3 linked regions of the Drosophila melanogaster genome follow. The protein of the gene in region 1 purifies or fractionates together with the protein of each later gene. This does not show direct contact. Each region holds a gene or a part of one and is shown on either strand. Other genes may lie near its edges.

Evidence for each region.
Region 2: the proteins of Rab11 (region 1) and nuf purify together in Drosophila melanogaster (affinity purification with western blotting; 5 studies listed by BioGRID, with this or other methods). This does not show direct contact.
Region 3: the proteins of Rab11 (region 1) and Sec5 purify together in Drosophila melanogaster (affinity purification with western blotting, with the first as the bait; 3 studies listed by BioGRID). This does not show direct contact.

Annotation. Positions count from the first base shown.
Region 1 is NT_033777.3:21,109,466-21,116,658, forward strand, and holds Rab11 (Rab11), read left to right. Parts: upstream 1-1,942; 5' UTR 1,943-2,350; coding exon 2,351-2,390; intron 2,391-4,480; coding exon 4,481-4,602; intron 4,603-5,287; coding exon 5,288-5,636; intron 5,637-5,785; coding exon 5,786-5,919; 3' UTR 5,920-6,681; downstream 6,682-7,193. Other genes in the region: rtet (tetracycline resistance), read left to right, coding at 1-123, 187-260, 554-729, 787-1,092, 1,151-1,242; ppan (peter pan), read left to right, coding at 6,839-7,168.
Region 2 is NT_037436.4:14,217,873-14,222,777, forward strand, and holds the start of nuf (nuclear fallout), read left to right. Parts: upstream 1-1,869; 5' UTR 1,870-2,064; intron 2,065-3,567; exon of another isoform or gene 3,568-3,628; intron 3,629-4,905. Other genes in the region: CG7768 (uncharacterized protein), read left to right, coding at 511-1,005.
Region 3 is NT_033779.5:3,455,608-3,460,903, reverse strand, and holds Sec5 (secretory 5), read right to left. Parts: upstream 3,603-5,296; 5' UTR 3,499-3,602; coding exon 3,390-3,498; intron 3,320-3,389; coding exon 2,705-3,319; intron 2,651-2,704; coding exon 829-2,650; intron 772-828; coding exon 633-771; 3' UTR 537-632; downstream 1-536. Other genes in the region: CG3246 (uncharacterized protein), read left to right, coding at 1-510; Cog3 (component of oligomeric golgi complex 3), read left to right, coding at 3,869-4,033, 4,090-4,602, 4,660-5,147, 5,201-5,296. UniProt on the Drosophila melanogaster protein: Component of the exocyst complex involved in the docking of exocytic vesicles with fusion sites on the plasma membrane.

The DNA.
Region 1 (7,193 bases):
TTCGCCATATTCTCCGATAAAAGTGGAAGTACTTGGTTTGTGTTGCCCTCTCTGCTGGCGTTTGGCCTGGCAGTTGGAGATCTTGTGGTCCTGGCCTGCTGTCTGCGGGAAACGTTGCCCAAGGTGCGTACGGTTGGCTAAATTAAATATATTCCCAACACCATTAATTGTTTGACCTTTTCGCAGGAGAAACGTGTTAAGGAGATATCATCTGCACTGTCTTATGGCCTGCAGTTGCTCAATTTTTCGGCCATATTTAGGTAATTCAATGTTTTAATTAGCATGTCTCGAAAACCTGTCGTGTGATCAAATCGAAATCGTCATACGGTGAGAACTGCAAGCCACCCGGACTTGCCTGACTGGTTTGATAGACACTATTATCATGCCGGGTTCTCGGACACGTTTGTTTGATTGCCTTATCAGTTAGTAAATTCTAGATTGCTTTTGATTAATTGTAGTTACAGGGAATTGAGTCCAGTTAGCTAGAAGATTATTACCAATGATTATGTCTGGATTTTACAATCATATTTCAAAAGAATTCTCCCACTGACAGATTTGCTGCCATCAAAAATGTGCCTAAGAAAGACATTGCGGCACTGCGATCCATTGGCCTGGTATACTTCTTGTATCTCTTTCTGTATTCCGGCTTGGAGTTCACCGTCACATTTCTGATGTACCACAAATTCGGTTACACTTCGATGGATCAGGCGAAGATGTTTTTGACAACGGGTATGGAGCAAGTTGATAATCTACAATATTCCCTATCAAATTTGTGTCTTTTTCTAGGTGTAATCATGACTTTGCTGCAGGGATCGGTGGTCCGACGGCTGCCCGAGGCGAAGATCAAAGGCTATGCCATCTTCAGTTTGTACCTGATTGTACCCGCCTTCGTAGTAGTCGGCCTAGCCGAGGGCAGTCGGATGCTGTACGCCGGCATGACCCTGTTCGCAATCTCCACAGCCTTCGCTGTCACCTGTCTGACCACCCTCGTATCCAAATACGGAAACGATGACCAGAAGGGTTCAGTACTGGGCATATTCCGCTCACTGGGAGCTTTGGCTCGAGCTCTGGGCCCCGTGGTGGGATGCATTGGTGAGCTCCTCAGCTGTCTTAGGATTATACCTTTTCTAAACTCTTTAATCCTTAATAGCCTTCTGGTGCGTTGGCTCCAGGATCACCTATATAGCCGGCGGACTTCTGCTCATTTATCCAGCCATGGCCTTGCAACGCGCTCGCATTTAAGTGCAATAGGAATAGAGTTTTTAAACTCACTAGAGATCAACGGAAGTATTAGCTGCACATTATACTTAATTTATCGTTTTTTACAAGTATTTTATATTAAAATAAACACATTTTTACTCTGATTTGTAAGCAGGGGGTTTTTACTTGGGATCGAAATGTTTTCTATTTAATTAATTTTTTTAATAAGATAATATTAGAAACAGTTACTGCTACTGGGAGAACGATTCTGTTTAGGTTGGAACGTTTTAAGTATTCAAGACATTTTGAGTTGGAAATAAGTTAAATGGGCTAGGGATAATCCCTAGAAAATGTGTTCAGCTTTTTTAAAATACGATAGGCTTGTCGGGATGAAACGAGAGCAGTTCATGATAATTCGTCGTACCGTCTGGTAACTCTAAAACATCCATCTCGTTAATTTAGTGATGCAAGTCGATGTGAAAACATCGATAATGATATAAGTATGTTGGTGTTTTAAAATAAAACAAATAAGTTTTTTAAATAGGAAACAAACATTAGATTTATTTTCTAGACCTAATGTGTTTTAATTATGAAAAAATTTAATTCTAATTCTAAAGCTTTTGAGTATAAAACAATGTTCATATAAACAAAAATAGAAGTGACATTGTACTATCGCCTTACATCGCCATTAAGAAAATCGATAAGTATCGCCGAAATAATGTCGATGTACCGATATTTTTCAACATCTCTAGTCTCGTTGGAAATATAACGTGACGTTATTGGGAGTGACTAAGTTTTCGTGTAAGAGAAAATTGCAAATAAATGCGCTGCAAGCAGCTGCAAATCTCCAATTAATACTGCTCCAATTGCCGGAAAAGTCCTGCCAGCATTTTCGAACGCATCCGAGCTGGAAGAGCAACCGATTTCGCCACTTAAATACTGATATATACACTTTTCTCTTTCTTTACAACTACAACTGCAAATAAAAGTGTAAAGTGTGTGAGCCGACGACAAACGCATTAAAGAAATCGGCGGCGCGCAGGGATTATTGGATTTCGTTTAGCACCCGCACACACAAAACAAAAAGGACGGAACTGGATTTCCAAAGGATATCGAACCGAGCGAGCGATAGCAAAACAAATTGAGCAAAATGGGTGCAAGAGAAGACGAGTACGATTATCTGTTCAAAGGTAATTATAAACATGATACTAGCCGCTGGTCGAAGATCGCGGAAGGTTGATCAGGAGGGGAGGAGCCGCACTTCCAGGCTCTCCTCTCCCTGCCGTGAGAGACAGTGGTTCAATAGCACTAATTGAAACTAATTGGAGAATAACAAAAAGTGCACTCGAAGAGCCCAAAGTTCATGTGATGGTATGTGGTGTGTTTGTTTGCGTGAGTGTCATTAATTCCCAAAATAAGAAGTACGCCCCCCGAGTTTGTTGTTGTTGCTACTGCTGCAGTTGGATGCCCTTTGGTGGCTCTCCCGCTCTCACTCTGCCTATCTCCATCTCTTTGGGGTACTCTTTCGGACTGGAGTACGCGTACTTTGCCGTTAACTGCTTGTTTTGTCATTACAGTGCCGTTGGTCTCGCCACGTTGCATACAAAAGCCAAGCAGATCGTATTTATAATCGCTCGCTCTGTAAAGTAGGTTTAAGGCTTGCCCACCCACTCGAAATGCTAAAGTGATTAGATATCCAGTAAATAGAGCGAGAGTGTGGGTATTATGATTTCTGTACAGCTGGCTTTTGCAATGGTTTCTTGTAACTTCGTTTAGTAGCTCTCTCTCACGCGCGCTCTCTTTTTCACCCGCTCTCGATTGAAAGTTTGAAGCACAGTAGAGCAAAATGATGTATTTGCAGGTAGAAAACAAGACTTTTATCCCGCATCTTCCCCCGTTTATGTGTAGATATGTATGAACAGAGGTCACAAATTCTCAGCTCTTCTTTGTTCCCTTCGTTTGCTACTACGCCATAAATTCCAATTGCGCTTGGAAATCTCTGCTAGCTATCACAGCTGAGCAACTGTTGAATGTCATTAAAAAAATATTTAAAACTTAATCTGCCGTATTTTTTGGGTCAAGTATACAAAAAGTTAAAAAAAAAGTCATCATAATAATGCGTCAGTGTGCGGTATGCATGATGAGGCCTCAAATTTCACACATGAAACAATATTAAACGGACATGACTCACAGCCAATAACTGCTGAAGAATTCCACTCACCGATAAGCGCATAATCACATAACTGAAAATGGGCCGTTTCGGGTTATTCGAGCCAATCCCACTACTAAGTAATGACCGTCGATTACCACTCCTCCCCTTTTAATTTCTCATCGCATCCGCTTAACTAAGTGCAATTTCTCTTTAAAGATCGTTATTAGCGCTGAGAAAGAGAGTAGAAAACAAAGTGACTCAGCTCTCTCGCTGATAACTGTAACCACGCTGCTCCCAGCTGTCCACACTGAAAGAAAACCCTATACCCTCTAATTTAGCTATCTAAATTAAGTCAAAAACTTGGACTTAGCTCAAAAGTCGTTTCAAATATTTAGTTCCTATCTTAATGGCATTGCAATCGAAACTTCGAACTCAAGAATCAGTGTTCATATGATACCATTTTACTATTTGAATTTTCTCCGTGCAGCGATGACCATAGCGATAGAGCGAAAAGGTGTTTGATGAGTTATAGTTGTTGTTTTCTGAATGGATTAGCAAACATGCTGAATCAACAATGTCCGAAAAGGGTGTCAAAAATGGAAACTAATAGACAGACAGTCAGTAAACACAGTGTCTAGATATCAGTTAATATATATTATAGCCAACAACTCTGGCCGCACATAAGAAAGTTTATCAAAAAGAAATGGAGTCGTAAAAAGGTCAGTGGATAGTTTTTATCGGGTAGCATATCAACTTGGGATGCTTGTTTGCTCCCTCAAATATCCGCCACTCAATTATCCAAGAAATGTTTGCTATCGGCAATGAAGCACAATAACACGAACTCCCTAACGTCGACTGGCCCAATCATAAAACATTTCTTTCCATGGCCTGAAATCCCCCGAGCATGGCGGTTTTATGTACTCGCTGACCTTGGTGCGCCGTGCCAGCGGCGAAAGGAGGACATGACCTAGCCGGGCCACCAGCGACCATTCTGTCCGGCCGTAAAACACAAGACAGGGGCCATGCCACGCCACGCCACACCACACACCCACATAAATTATGCAACTGGGGGTCTTCGATTATCCAATGCCAATGTCGATGTCACTAATTCCCTCTAATCCTTTGCAGTTGTCCTTATCGGTGACTCCGGTGTTGGCAAAAGTAATTTGCTCTCACGTTTCACGCGCAATGAATTCAACTTGGAGTCCAAGTCGACGATTGGCGTTGAGTTTGCAACGCGCAGCATAGAGGTGAGTACGCTGGCCAAGAATTCGAGGGTGGAGTGGCCCATGGAGCTCCACCCCCACACATCTACCGCACCGCACCCACAGTGGGGGAAGTCACGGGTGAACTTGCGTGTGCGTTTCGGTGGGAGGACACGTAGTTGAGGCGTCTATCGGAAAATTGGGGGGAAAAGTTTGTTCAATTTGAGTAAGTGTCGAGAATTTCACTAAATAATGGATTGCCAATTGGCTTTCTTGCATAATTTCAAAAGCCATCCTACGGGATTAGCCAAAATGTTGACATCATAGTTGTCACTTGTGCTGAAATAATAAATTTATGTGGTCAATAACAATTATATATTACGTATGTATAAGGATTTGTGTTAAACAATACTTTGTGCCATCTTTTCGAAGTAGCTTAGTAGGTCATCTTAATATTTAGTATATCAAATGGGTTCAATGAATATAACTTACGCTACTTGCGTTTTTTCTAACTAGTGTAAGAAATTTCAAAAATTGGGTTCTCTTACTAGAGTTAAAAGCTTATCCATAAGCTCTAATTTATGTTGGTTATGTGTGAATACTGAATGCCAGTGCTTGTATATTAATTTTCAAAGCGAATGCGCCGCAGGCATTTCGTGGCGAAATTGCCAATTACTGGCACCATTCTAATGCTGTCCTTTGTTTCATCCTTCTTGTGCATCCAACGCAGGTCGATGGCAAAACAATTAAAGCGCAAATCTGGGATACGGCCGGCCAGGAGCGTTATCGCGCCATCACCTCTGCCTACTACCGCGGTGCCGTGGGGGCCCTGCTCGTCTATGACATTGCCAAGCATCTGACCTACGAGAACGTGGAGCGGTGGCTGCGGGAATTGCGCGACCATGCCGACCAGAACATCGTCATCATGCTGGTGGGCAACAAGTCCGACTTGCGGCACTTGCGCTCCGTGCCCACGGACGAGGCGAAGCTGTTTGCCGAGCGCAACGGCTTGAGTTTCATAGAAACCTCGGCCCTCGACTCAACGAACGTTGAAACGGCATTCCAGAACATACTCACAGGTGGGTCGTTCAGGATATTTTAGCTAGTCTGCTTTCAAATTATCGATCGTTTAAGAATATTTAAATACTGTAGATTAAACGCTTCATTGAAAGTCAATAGATTAATGATAACGAAGCACGACTAATGATGTCTCGTAATCCCGTTTCAGAGATCTATCGCATTGTGTCGCAGAAACAGATCAGAGATCCGCCGGAAGGCGACGTCATCCGCCCGTCGAACGTGGAGCCCATCGACGTAAAGCCGACTGTCACCGCCGATGTGCGCAAACAGTGCTGTCAGTGACCGCCCCAAGCAATTTTCGCTATTCCCCGCAACCGCCAGAACAGCAACATAAACAGAAGCAACAGCAATTACAACTACGACTACAAGAGGAGCAGCAGCGGCCAGAACTGCAACACCAAGATCAGGAGCAGCGTACACCCGATGGACCGCACAAGATGTCTATGCGTTTGTCAGCCACAGTTTGTCATGTGCGCATAAATTGATAATTCAAATCTGAGCCGCCACTCTCCACCACCAACACCACCACCATCATCAGAAGCAGCAGCAGCAGCAAAAGAATCGAAAGCAACAACATCCGGCTGTAGTTAACTGCGGTTTAAACTGAAGTTTTATATATATACAGATCCATGAGTATCGCATAAATCGACCGCCGCGGAAAGAAAGCAAGCAAAACTAAACACTCCAAATTCAGTTTAAGCTGTAGAACTATAATTTATATAAATATACATATATGCTAATATTAAAATATTAATATTATTAATTTTTCGCAACATAAATATATAGTTGTAATTTCGCGAGCAGAACAACAACAAACAACCGGAAATTCTTCGACTTAAACGCAAATTCATTACCACAGCACTGCAGCTCGGATTTTCTTCTTCGGTTTCTCGCAACATTTTAAACGATTGGCCACTTGGTAAAACTAGCTGATAAAGAGAAATCAAACAAAAACAGTTGTAAAACTTTAAATGCATAAATGAAACGAAATAACATCATTTGTGTTTGCTATGTTAAGTGTGATTAAATAAATATAATTTAAATAAAACAGAAGTGCTTTCAATTGGGCGGAAAATCGAAATTTAAAATGGGATTAGAGTGACCAAAGGCAGACGTCGGAGTGGGTGTTTGGTATTTTCCGCGCGAGCAGCCACACTGATCCATACACGTGCGGGAGAAAAGTGAACAAAAACATTGAAACATGGGCGGTAAGAAGAAAGTGCATCCGAAGACGCGCACGGCGGCCTTCAAGGCCAGCGAGCCGAGCGAGATCGTGGAGGCGCCGCACTCCTTCGTCATCCATCGCGGCCTCGCCTGTCCGTACATCACGGACCTCACCCTGGACTTCCGCCGCATTATGGAGCCCTTTACGGCCAGCAATCTGCGCGAGAAGCGGATGAACCGCATCAAGGACTTTGTCAGCCTGAGCAGCTTCTTCCACGTCTCGCACATGGGCATCTTCAACAAGGCCTCCACGCAGCTGTCCTTCAAAGTGGTCCGCTTGCCGCGCGGTCCTTCCCTGACTTTCAAGGTTTGTTTGTTTCATCGCTTAGTTT
Region 2 (4,905 bases), on another chromosome or scaffold:
CGCGTGGATGGATATATAAAGTTTGTACACAACTGCAAATGAAAGGTAAATATAGCCGGCTTTAAAAGTATCTGTGAGTTTTGCGTTGATTAAGGCGGCGGTTAAACAAATTAGAAGAGTAAATAAGGTCTGTAAGATTAGACACGGATAAAGGTATTTTAAGGACAATATTACCTTAAAATATCCAAATATACCGATCATTTGCAATGTATTAAAAATTGTGGAAGCCAAAGCAGGCATTTTTTTTTGCTACTGGATTTTATAAAGAAGGCTGTGAAATGAATTTCAACGAGCCCTTACTTCAGATCCCTGACTAGCCCAGAATATTCGTCAGTTCAGTTCCAGCTGTTCTACTGTACGGTTCTCTTGAAAGTCGTTACTTTTTTTTATCATAAAGCTGACACCACCAAGTTATCCGGTAAATATATTTCTTGTTTTTGAACAAGGCATCGTTCGATTTTAAACCTAATAGATCTGGCTTTTCTCCGAAAATTTTCGGCATCTGCGAAGATGTCGTTGCCACGCGTTTACTTCGATATAGCCGCAGGAGGTGAGAAGTTAGGTAGAATTGTGATGGAACTACGTTCGGATGTGGTGCCCAAGACGGCGGAGAATTTCCGGGCCCTCTGCACCGGAGAGAAGGGGTACGGCTACAAGGGATCACCATTCCACCGCGTCATCCCGAATTTCATGTGTCAGGGCGGTGATTTCACTAATCAAAACGGAACTGGAGGACGCTCCATTTATGGAAACAAGTTTCCCGATGAGAATTTCGAGCTAAAGCATACCGGAGCTGGTGTACTTTCGATGGCCAATGCTGGGGCCAATACCAATGGATCTCAGTTTTTCATTTGCACCGGGAAAACCACATGGCTGGATAATAAGCATGTCGTGTTCGGCAAGGTCGTTGAGGGAATGGATATCGTCCAGAAGGTAGAATCTTACGGTTCACAAGATGGGAAGACCAGCAAGAAAGTAATTATCGAAGACTGCGGAGCCCTCTGAAGGGTGTCAATACATAATAGTGCTGTCAATCACACATTTACACTATTACACTGAAATTATACTTTTCAAGAAAACTTTGCAAAATAAAAGGGGGTGCAAAAAAATGTATTTTGTCGGTTCAACTATTTACATCGCTCTCATATGTTACGCATTTCAGACCAATTCGTTGAATAATCCGGTGCACCCTGAACAGCCCAGTTCCCTGACTCATTTTCCTTTGATTTTTCTTTCCATTACTTTTAATTGACTCAATTTAGTTCAAGAGTTGCTCACATATGTCGCTTTTGATTCTTTCCACTCGATTCTCATTCTGTCTCCCATCACCTTTCCCTCAAGCCATTCTATCCACTTTACCCGAATGCACTTTGCAAATGTCTATTAAGTCACATACACTGATGAAAAAAAAGAATTAACCACCAGTAATACATATGTATATGTTTGGTAAAGTGCACTTTACTAAATACATTCAAAAACTCAAATTGAATCCATTATTTTTTAAATATATTCTGCAATATAAGTTTTGTTTAAACAAATATTATATTTGGAAGTTAGTATTTCTTTTCAAACCTAAAAACACCTGGCTAACTATGTTATACAATGTGTATATGTGTATGTGCATATAAGCCACTCAGCAAACAAAATTTTCTTTTCTCAAGTGCATGTAATACGAATTTCCAACACTGCTAAGTCACATTAGTGGAATTTTTCTATTGCGTTCGTTTTGCTTTGGGGCTCTGTTTTTTTGTATTTCTTTTCGTTATTTTTTCGGGCACCCAAAACAAGTCGCGGCTTCTGCCGACGTCGACCGAGGCAGCGGCAGAGGAGGGGCCGCGACTTGGCGCTGGCTTTTCAGCGCTTTCCTCTCTCAGATTGCATTTAACGCTTGCCGCGTTCACAACACTAGAAAAGCGGAGCAGCGCATCGAACGGTCGCCCTGTCTCTCACTCTCTCGCGCTCTCTCGCGCGGGTGTTTTGTTGTTGGGCAATGCAATTGCCAAGGAAAAGGAAAATGCAGCTGCTGCTGCTGCTCTCCTAAGCAAAATAGCCAAATTAAAAAAGGTTCGAAATTCGAGAAAATTAACCCAAAGTTACCTCAATTCGTGTGTTTTTTGTGTGTTACCTATTATCGATCGAATTCGCTTATCAGCTGTGTCAGGTGCCTTTGGCTCATTAACCGCTTATTTAAGGAAAAATGTGAAATCAAAACAAATTCGTTAATGACAGGGTCTGTTGTGAAAACCCGTAATCAAAGTAGCCTTGTTCGGCTCATGTTTCTAATTTTCATACCCTCTGGCAAATATATTGGTTGATTGATCTTAAATTGAAAAGTGCGGTTGAATCAGTTTGCCAAGTGTTTTATCGAAACATAAAAAATGGAAATCAAGTGTGGCATAAAATTGATAAATGATACAATAAATGGGACAAAATGAAAGAAAAAATAAAATAGCTTTAAACAATTCAAAGCAATTCTTCGTTATGGGGCGTTAAAAGTTGAAAAAACACTGACGGTAATTGATGAAGTAAAACGAAGAAAGATAAGGTGATCAAATTTGCAAAACCGGCACAATGTAAATTAATTGTGCTTTTTGTGTTGATTTTTTTTATTATTAATGGAGACAAGTTTAAGTATTTTCTTAAAAAGTTTAGTAAACTTAGGAAGATGAAAAAAAAAAAATAATATTGCCTCTTTAAAAATCAAGTCTTGTTTTCATTGCTTTCGGCAGTTTCTACATTCAAAGGGAATTAAATAAATCAAGGGCTTCCACCGAGAATAACGCATAGCAGTTCCAAGTTCATTCATTATACATAACTCGTACTTCTTAATTTCTTTTACTAGGCATTTTCCGTACCGTTAAGTTTGGTAGGAAAATATTCTTTCATTAGCGATGGTTCGTCAATTAGTAGGCATATAAATCTAACGGCACAGTGCCCTAACAGCACAGAAGACAACTAACCGGAACTGAAAACTAGCACTAAAAACCAATAAGTAAAAGGCCTAAGGTAGCCGCAATAACAAAAGAACGGAAAAGACCCTCTGATGACATCAACAAAAAGGGGGTGTACGAAAGAGATGGGACGAAATGGATGGAGATTACCATCCAATCCCGCATGCGTCCCGTTACTCTTGCTTTTCGGTTCGTGTCCACGCTTATTCACTTGCGCTTTTATTTAGTAATGAGTAAAACATATACATACATACGTATGTATGCATATATGAACATATGATGGGAGGCATTTTGGGAGCGGTTGGCTTGGGGTGACCGTATATAAATTCCACATAATTATGCGCTGTCCCTGACTCAAAAACCATATGTTCAAAATAAAGGAGGCGGGCGGATTCGGCGAGAGAATCACCCTCGGACATATGGCGAAAAACTTTTCCTTTGGGGGATCGGATCGCTCTCTTTCTTCGGTCCCTTGTCATTGCTCTTGTTTGTTGATTATTATTTTTTCCTATTTATAAAGATTGCGCCTCCCCAAATTCGCTCTCCCAGTCTCTCATTTTTCTCTCTATCGCTGGCGACTGCCTCGGTTTATTTTGCCCCTGAATTTCTGGTTCATTCAGTTTGCTTTTCGCGTTTCGCGTGCTTTAATCGAAATTTGTTTTTCTCCCTCGATTGTGGTTGTAATAAAATACATAATACACCATTTTAAATAATCGAAAAAATTAGCTATTCACTTTTAAAATTGAAAAATATTTGTGAGATCGCGGCACAGATTATTGAAGATCATAAAATCGGCAGGAAAATTAAAAATATTTTAAAGGATTGCATCATTAGTTTTTGGTTCTTTTAAGCAAAAGCTTTCAAGAAAGTTATAGAATACATAATAGTACATTAAAAATAATCAATGACAATTTTTTTTCAAGTTCTTATGTATATGATTCCCATATAATTGATGCAAAGTCTTTAAATATACATTTGTTTGAAATCATGAATATTTTATGTGGTACTCAGCATTCCTGATCCAATTTCGGCTAATCATTGTATATTTTACAACCTTTTTGTTGTAACTTGTTCACTTCACTTTGTTGCATGAAAAGTGCACAGCAGCGAAGTAAAATTTGCATTTAATGAGCTCCCCTCGTTCGACTCATCCCCATTTTCACCCCTTCCTTCGTCGACCATTGTATGCAAATCTTTGTGGAATTCAATTTTGCTGAAGAGTAGCTAATGATAATTTTCTATTATGCTGTTTTTGATTGCCTGACATGGGCGAGGAAAAAATGGTTGAAGAGATATGATAATCCAAAAATATTCAGCTGACAAGAAAGGAAAGTTTACTTCATTAGCAAATTAGTTTTAGTTGAATTGAAATCAGATTATTCGGTTACTTACTGTACTTGTATTGAAGGAATTGGATTGTATTTTGATAAGGGTTTCCAAATCATTTGTAATAAAGTTGTATTTTATTTATTTGAATGCTTATTTCGTAAATCAACTTGGAATCATTCAAAGCAAATAAAGTTCTTTAAAAAGTAAAATCTTTATCAGTCATGCCCTGCTTTTAATTGGCCCTCATATTGACCTTTATTTAAATTTGTATGTGATAACGTGAAAATGAAGCTTTGACAAGGGCACCTTAACTATACACGTCGCCGAACGATTTGATAAGACTAAGAATGATTCAGTTTACTAGACTACAAAAGTAAACAGCACGCCACAAATTCCAAGTAAAAGAAAAGCAAACTTAGCCAGCCATTGCATTTTCTGGTAATTAGAAACTAGGCGGGAATTCAAAACCTGAGGAACAAAATAACAATGAAAATAGGGAGAGGTTGGAAAATAGCTGTACGACGAGGATATGTAAAATTGTCTAGAATTCTGCTCAAAGTCTGAACAAAATAATTTTACGGTCTGTTGGTTCTAAAAAAAAAAGAAGAAGTAAAGAGAGGGTTGG
Region 3 (5,296 bases), on another chromosome or scaffold:
GGCGTGTTCAGTGTCCAGTTAGCACACACCTGGATCAATGGAATCTCTAGCTTCTACCGCGTGGGCAACATAACCGCTGGCATGGCCAACAAAACGGTGTCGGTCGTTCTGCAAATAGGCACCCAGCAGGTGACGGGAGCCGGCCAGTGGGAGGTGGGTGTGGGCATGATGACACGCGTCGGTCACGTACAATTTACGGTTCAGCACATACGCGCCACCGTTGGCCTGAGCCAATCCCTGGACACACGCAAGCGGGCGCAGATCACCGATCTGCAGTTTGACATGGGCAACATACAGGTGCGATGTGACGGAGCGGGAACGCTGGACTACGTCATGGAGTTTGCGGTGAACGTCATTCCCAACCTGCTGCGCTACCAGATCATGGACGCCATCGAGAACCCCATCAAGCAGCGTGTGCAGGAGAAGTTCAACACCATCGATGTGGAGCAGGTCATCAAGACCATGGCTCAGAACAACTTCAACTTTGACCCAAAGCTGTTGGGCTTGTGAGTCGTGGTAGTAAGTAAGAGAGTTATGCAATCGAATAAAGATTTATCCCTAGAACATGGGTAATCACAAGCTACTTAAAGTATACGCTATCTACATGGGCTGCGCCCTGCAGTGGAATGTGCCTAGGGGTCCTTGACACTGAAGCAGAGCAGCTGCAGACGCATGTTCCGCTTGACCCGCTCCAGAATCTCGTCCGCCTTACGCTTCTGCTCGCCACTCAGGGGCGGATTGATGGCCTCCAGCGCTTCCATGAAGTAGTTCCTTTTGCAGATTAGAAGAATTATTGAAATTCATAGGTATTTCATTTAGATCACTCACTTGGCAGTCTCATTGACGTAACCTTCCAGGGAGTCCCTCAATAGACGGATATCCACGTGGGCCTGAATCGCTCCCGTGAAGCTAAAGCGCTGGACACAGCTCATCAGACGGGCCAGCTCTTCGGATATGGTTTGCACAATGGACTCCAGGATGGGTCGCAGCAGTGCCGGTGAAATGCTGTAGATCTCGGAGTAGACACCAACCAAATTATCGCAGCACTCGTGAGCGTAAGGACGCAGCTGGCCGATCTCCATCTCGTGATCCCACTGGAAACGACCCAGATACATGGAGGGCTCGATGGTGCCGACCAGCGGATCGCCCTTATGCTCGACGTACTCCTCCAGAAGATTGGTAAAGAGCTGGTTAACCGTGTAGCGAGCAGTTTCGATTGCCAGCGTGGGCAGCGGGTAACCGTAGCGAACGAAGATGTCACCAAGGCGCGGGAAGAAGATCTTGTTGCAGTACGCATAGTTGGCCAGGCAACAGAGCATGCGCTGCTCCCAGGTCACAGCCGCTGCTCCGCCGCTTCCAGCCACCGAATCTGGCTGCTGGGCATTGGGGAATCCAAGTAGCTGCGACACATTGTGGGTGGGCGTCTCCTCGTCGTGGGAGTGGAAGGCCAGCTCCTCGATCACCGCGCTAAACGCGGATAGGAATTCTTGTAGTCGCTGTGTCACCTCTCTCTGTCCATCCGACTGCGGCTCGAGGAGATTGCCCTCCCGGGTCTCCCTTTGCATGCACACAGATTGCACCTCGTCCAGCGTTTCGATGAGCAATGTTTCCAAGGCGGCGGGTAACAATGTGGCACCTGGATATTCCTCCACGCCCAGTTCCCAGGTCTCCTGGCTGCCCAGCTTTTTGCACCGATCCGTGGCCCGTTTGAAGATAATTGAGAAGCAGAAAAGTCGCACCTCATCGATCAGTTTCTGTATGATGTCCAGCGCTTCCGAGGGCAGATCCAGGCTGATGAGCGTGGCATAGGCTATCCTCGTGAAACGCAGGCACTGCGGAATCCAGGGTAGAAACTGATGTGTTGCCGATGCGGAGCCGATGGGCCAAGCCAAGCCGCTGGACTGACGCAGGGCGCGCTGATCCGTGGCAATGAGAATGGCCAACCTCAAGTAGACACAGAACTTCTCGATGGCGTTCAAAACCATTCGCTTGAAATCCCCTGGCTTGGGATCATGAGGTCCGCGTAGCTCGCCGGTGAAGTATAGCTGGCCCAGACGCCACAAGTCCGGCAGCTGGGAGGCGGCAATGTCGCACAGTTCTTCGCAGAAGTTAACCCGATTGGGCGCCTGGCTGGAATCCCTGTTCTTTGCCTTTTCCTGGGCACCCGAATCCTTGCTGGTGTGCTGATCAAATGTCTGGCGAAATGTCCACTCCAGATATTTGGCTCTGGCCTCGATGGCATCCCAGGCGGGATCGATGTTGCGCAGTTTATCGCCAATGGGAGTTCCGCTCTGCTGCAGTTCCAGACTGATCAGCGCCTTGATGAGCTTCTTCTGTTGCTCCACGCTCTGTGGCATCTTGACCACCTTCTCGTGCAGTTGTTTCCTTATTGACAGAATCCTGTGGTCGACCTCCTCGAGCACCTTGCGGAAAATGGGAATCTCCGTCTTGCCAAAGAGGTTCTTGGCGCGCGAGTAGTCGTTAACCACAATGTCATATTCACCCGCCTTGGCACGTCTGTCCACCGAATTGGGCAGACAGAAGAGGAACTTGTGCCGCGACAGGGCGAACAGAACGGACCGCGTGGAATCCGCCTTCTCTTTGCGCACCAGCACATCCGTGAATATCTTTTGCGATTCGCTAATGGAGTCTATAAGTCGAACAATTTTAGAATTAAATATCTTAATCTATAAACCCCACTCACTCTCTATGGATGTTTCCAAGATATTTAGGGTCTCATTGCCGTGTAGCTTGACATCCTCCTGCAGCTTGTCTCGGATGTTCATCAGCGTATCGAGCTGGTCAATCACCGAGCCTGCATTGGACTTGAGGAAGGACAACTGACCTTCCTTCTGGCTCTCCACTTTCCGCTTCAAGTAGGACAGGCCCGCCTTGAGATCCTCGAAGGAGGTGGCCAGGTGATTTTCAAGCAGGAACCAGGCCGGGGAGAAGTGCTCCTGCGACAGATCCCCGCAGGCTTCGGGAAAGAGATCGCGGAGGTCCTCGGGGATCTTCTGCTCGTTACCCTCGATGGACAGCCCAAGTGGATCCTCCTGCGTCAGTCCGGATTGGGCTAGGGTGCGCCGACCCCAGGCAAAATTCTGCGAGGGCGACTCCTCGATCCACACGGCGGACTCCTTGAGCGGGCCAATGGTCTCGTGGTATGCACGAAACTGAACCGTGGACGTGCCCACTCCGCCGCTTAAAGTGGTCACTATGATATCGCCTTTTCCCTTCGCCGGACCAGTGCGTGCGATGATTTTATTGGGTGATTTCCACTCCGCCGACAGCAGACAATCTGAACCGCAGATTTTTAGACCTTACATTTTTTTTTTTTGGAAGGGAAAGTCATCAGAAAACAGAAGCTATTTGGGACAGGCTACGCCTACCAATTAGATCTTGCACTCGGGTGCCCAGGAACTCGCCGCGAATGATAACGCGGGTGCCAGGAGGACCCTCCTTCGGAGATAGCCCCGTAACCACTGGCTGCGGCGCCATCGTATGCTATATGATGCGGAAAAACTGATCAAAATGCAATAAAAACAATAGAGAACAGAACTTTATTGATGCTGCCAGTGATGGAAAACGTCCCGTCAGTGGTGAAATCTTGGCTAAGTAATCGCCAAGCTAAACAGACAGATATTTAATATAAAACTTATGTAAGAAACGGACGAGCATAAAAAGAGCTTAAAATGTATTAAATCTAAAATTAAAGATTACTTAACATATGATACCATTCAAATAAAGGCAACTTATATCAATCAAGAGTTTTAGTTCTAGCTAAGTCTCCTTGCTGAGCAGCACTGGAAGGCGCAGACCGGTCATCTCTGAACAGCTGATTGATTGTTTCCAAATCCGCCGCAGAAAAATGGATGACGTCGAACGAATTCAGAGCGAGAATGAGAATTTGCGCAAGATTCGCAATCGCCTGATGCAATGGGAGTCCAAAACGGACCCGCTGGCGGCTCTGAGTATCCAGCAAGAGGAGCACCTGGACGTCCTGACCAATCTGTGGCGCGACAGCGGACCATCGGTGAGTCGACTCCTCCTCGAATGGCAATCGTATAATTGCAACCCGACTCTTTGTAGGCACCGGCACCGACTACGCCCACCCAGGTGGGTCCTACCGATTCATCGGCAGCTGCAACTTCGCAAAGCGGCGATGACATCAGACTACCTGCGGAGGGACTCCAGAACACCAATGAGTTTCTGCTTTGGTTCGCGGACGTCAGCGCCGAGATCGAGCAACGTGGCGATGCCGACTACCACAAATACCTGCAGCAGCTGGAGCAGCGCAAAGCGGAGTGCTCCCACATGCTGGACCAGATCGCTGGGGCCATGGAGCGCCTGGGTGCCCTCTGCGACGAGTACGACTTTGTGTCGCAAAAGACCAGCGCTCTGAACACGGCCAGCGAGCAGTTGATCGAGGAGCAGGAGCGACTGCAGGAGCTGAGTCACGAGATTCAACGCCGTCTGCACTACTTCAGCCAGGTGGAGTTGCTCAACCAACGACTTCAGAGCCCCACGCTTTCGGTGGCTAGCGAAGCGTTCCGGGAGTGCCTCAACAAGATCGACGAATGCCTAAACTACATCGAGGAGAATGTGAGCTTGTCTGTTACACTTCGGTCATGTATATACTAATATCCTTCATTGTCACAGCCCAAATTCAAGGATGCGGCCGCCTACAATGTGAAGTACAGGCAGTGCCTGGCCAAAGCCTCGGGTCTGGTGCGTAACTATGTGACGAGTGTGATAAACCAGGCAACCGAGGCCACGCTCCATCCCAAGAACAATATGCCGGATGCCTCCGCTGCTCTCAAGGCACCAGATGCCGCATTCGCTCTGTACTACGGCAAATATCAAACGGCCGCGGCAAAAGTGAAGCGGGTCGCCCAGTTGATTGAGTCCCGGTCGGAACACAGCCTCGACTACGCCCAACTAATGGCGGATCTTCAACAGCACTACTTGGCGCAAAGAGCCAGCGTTATGTCGCCAGCAGTGAATCTGTCCATACAAAACGTTAAGGTGGCCCACAAAGGGGATCACTGCTCTCTCACCCGAAGCGCCTGCGCCTTTTTGGTGCATGTTTGCCAGGACGAACAGCGTTTGTTCTACCAGTTCTTCAGCACAGGAGCGCCACACCTGACGTAATACTCGTACATCTAGTTGGAAAATAGGATTGATCTCATTTTTCCCACAGGGTTTATCTGGAGGGTCTGTGCACCATTCTCTATGACACCATGCGACCCTTTATTATACATATTAATCACTTGGAAACGCTGGCGGAGATCTGCTC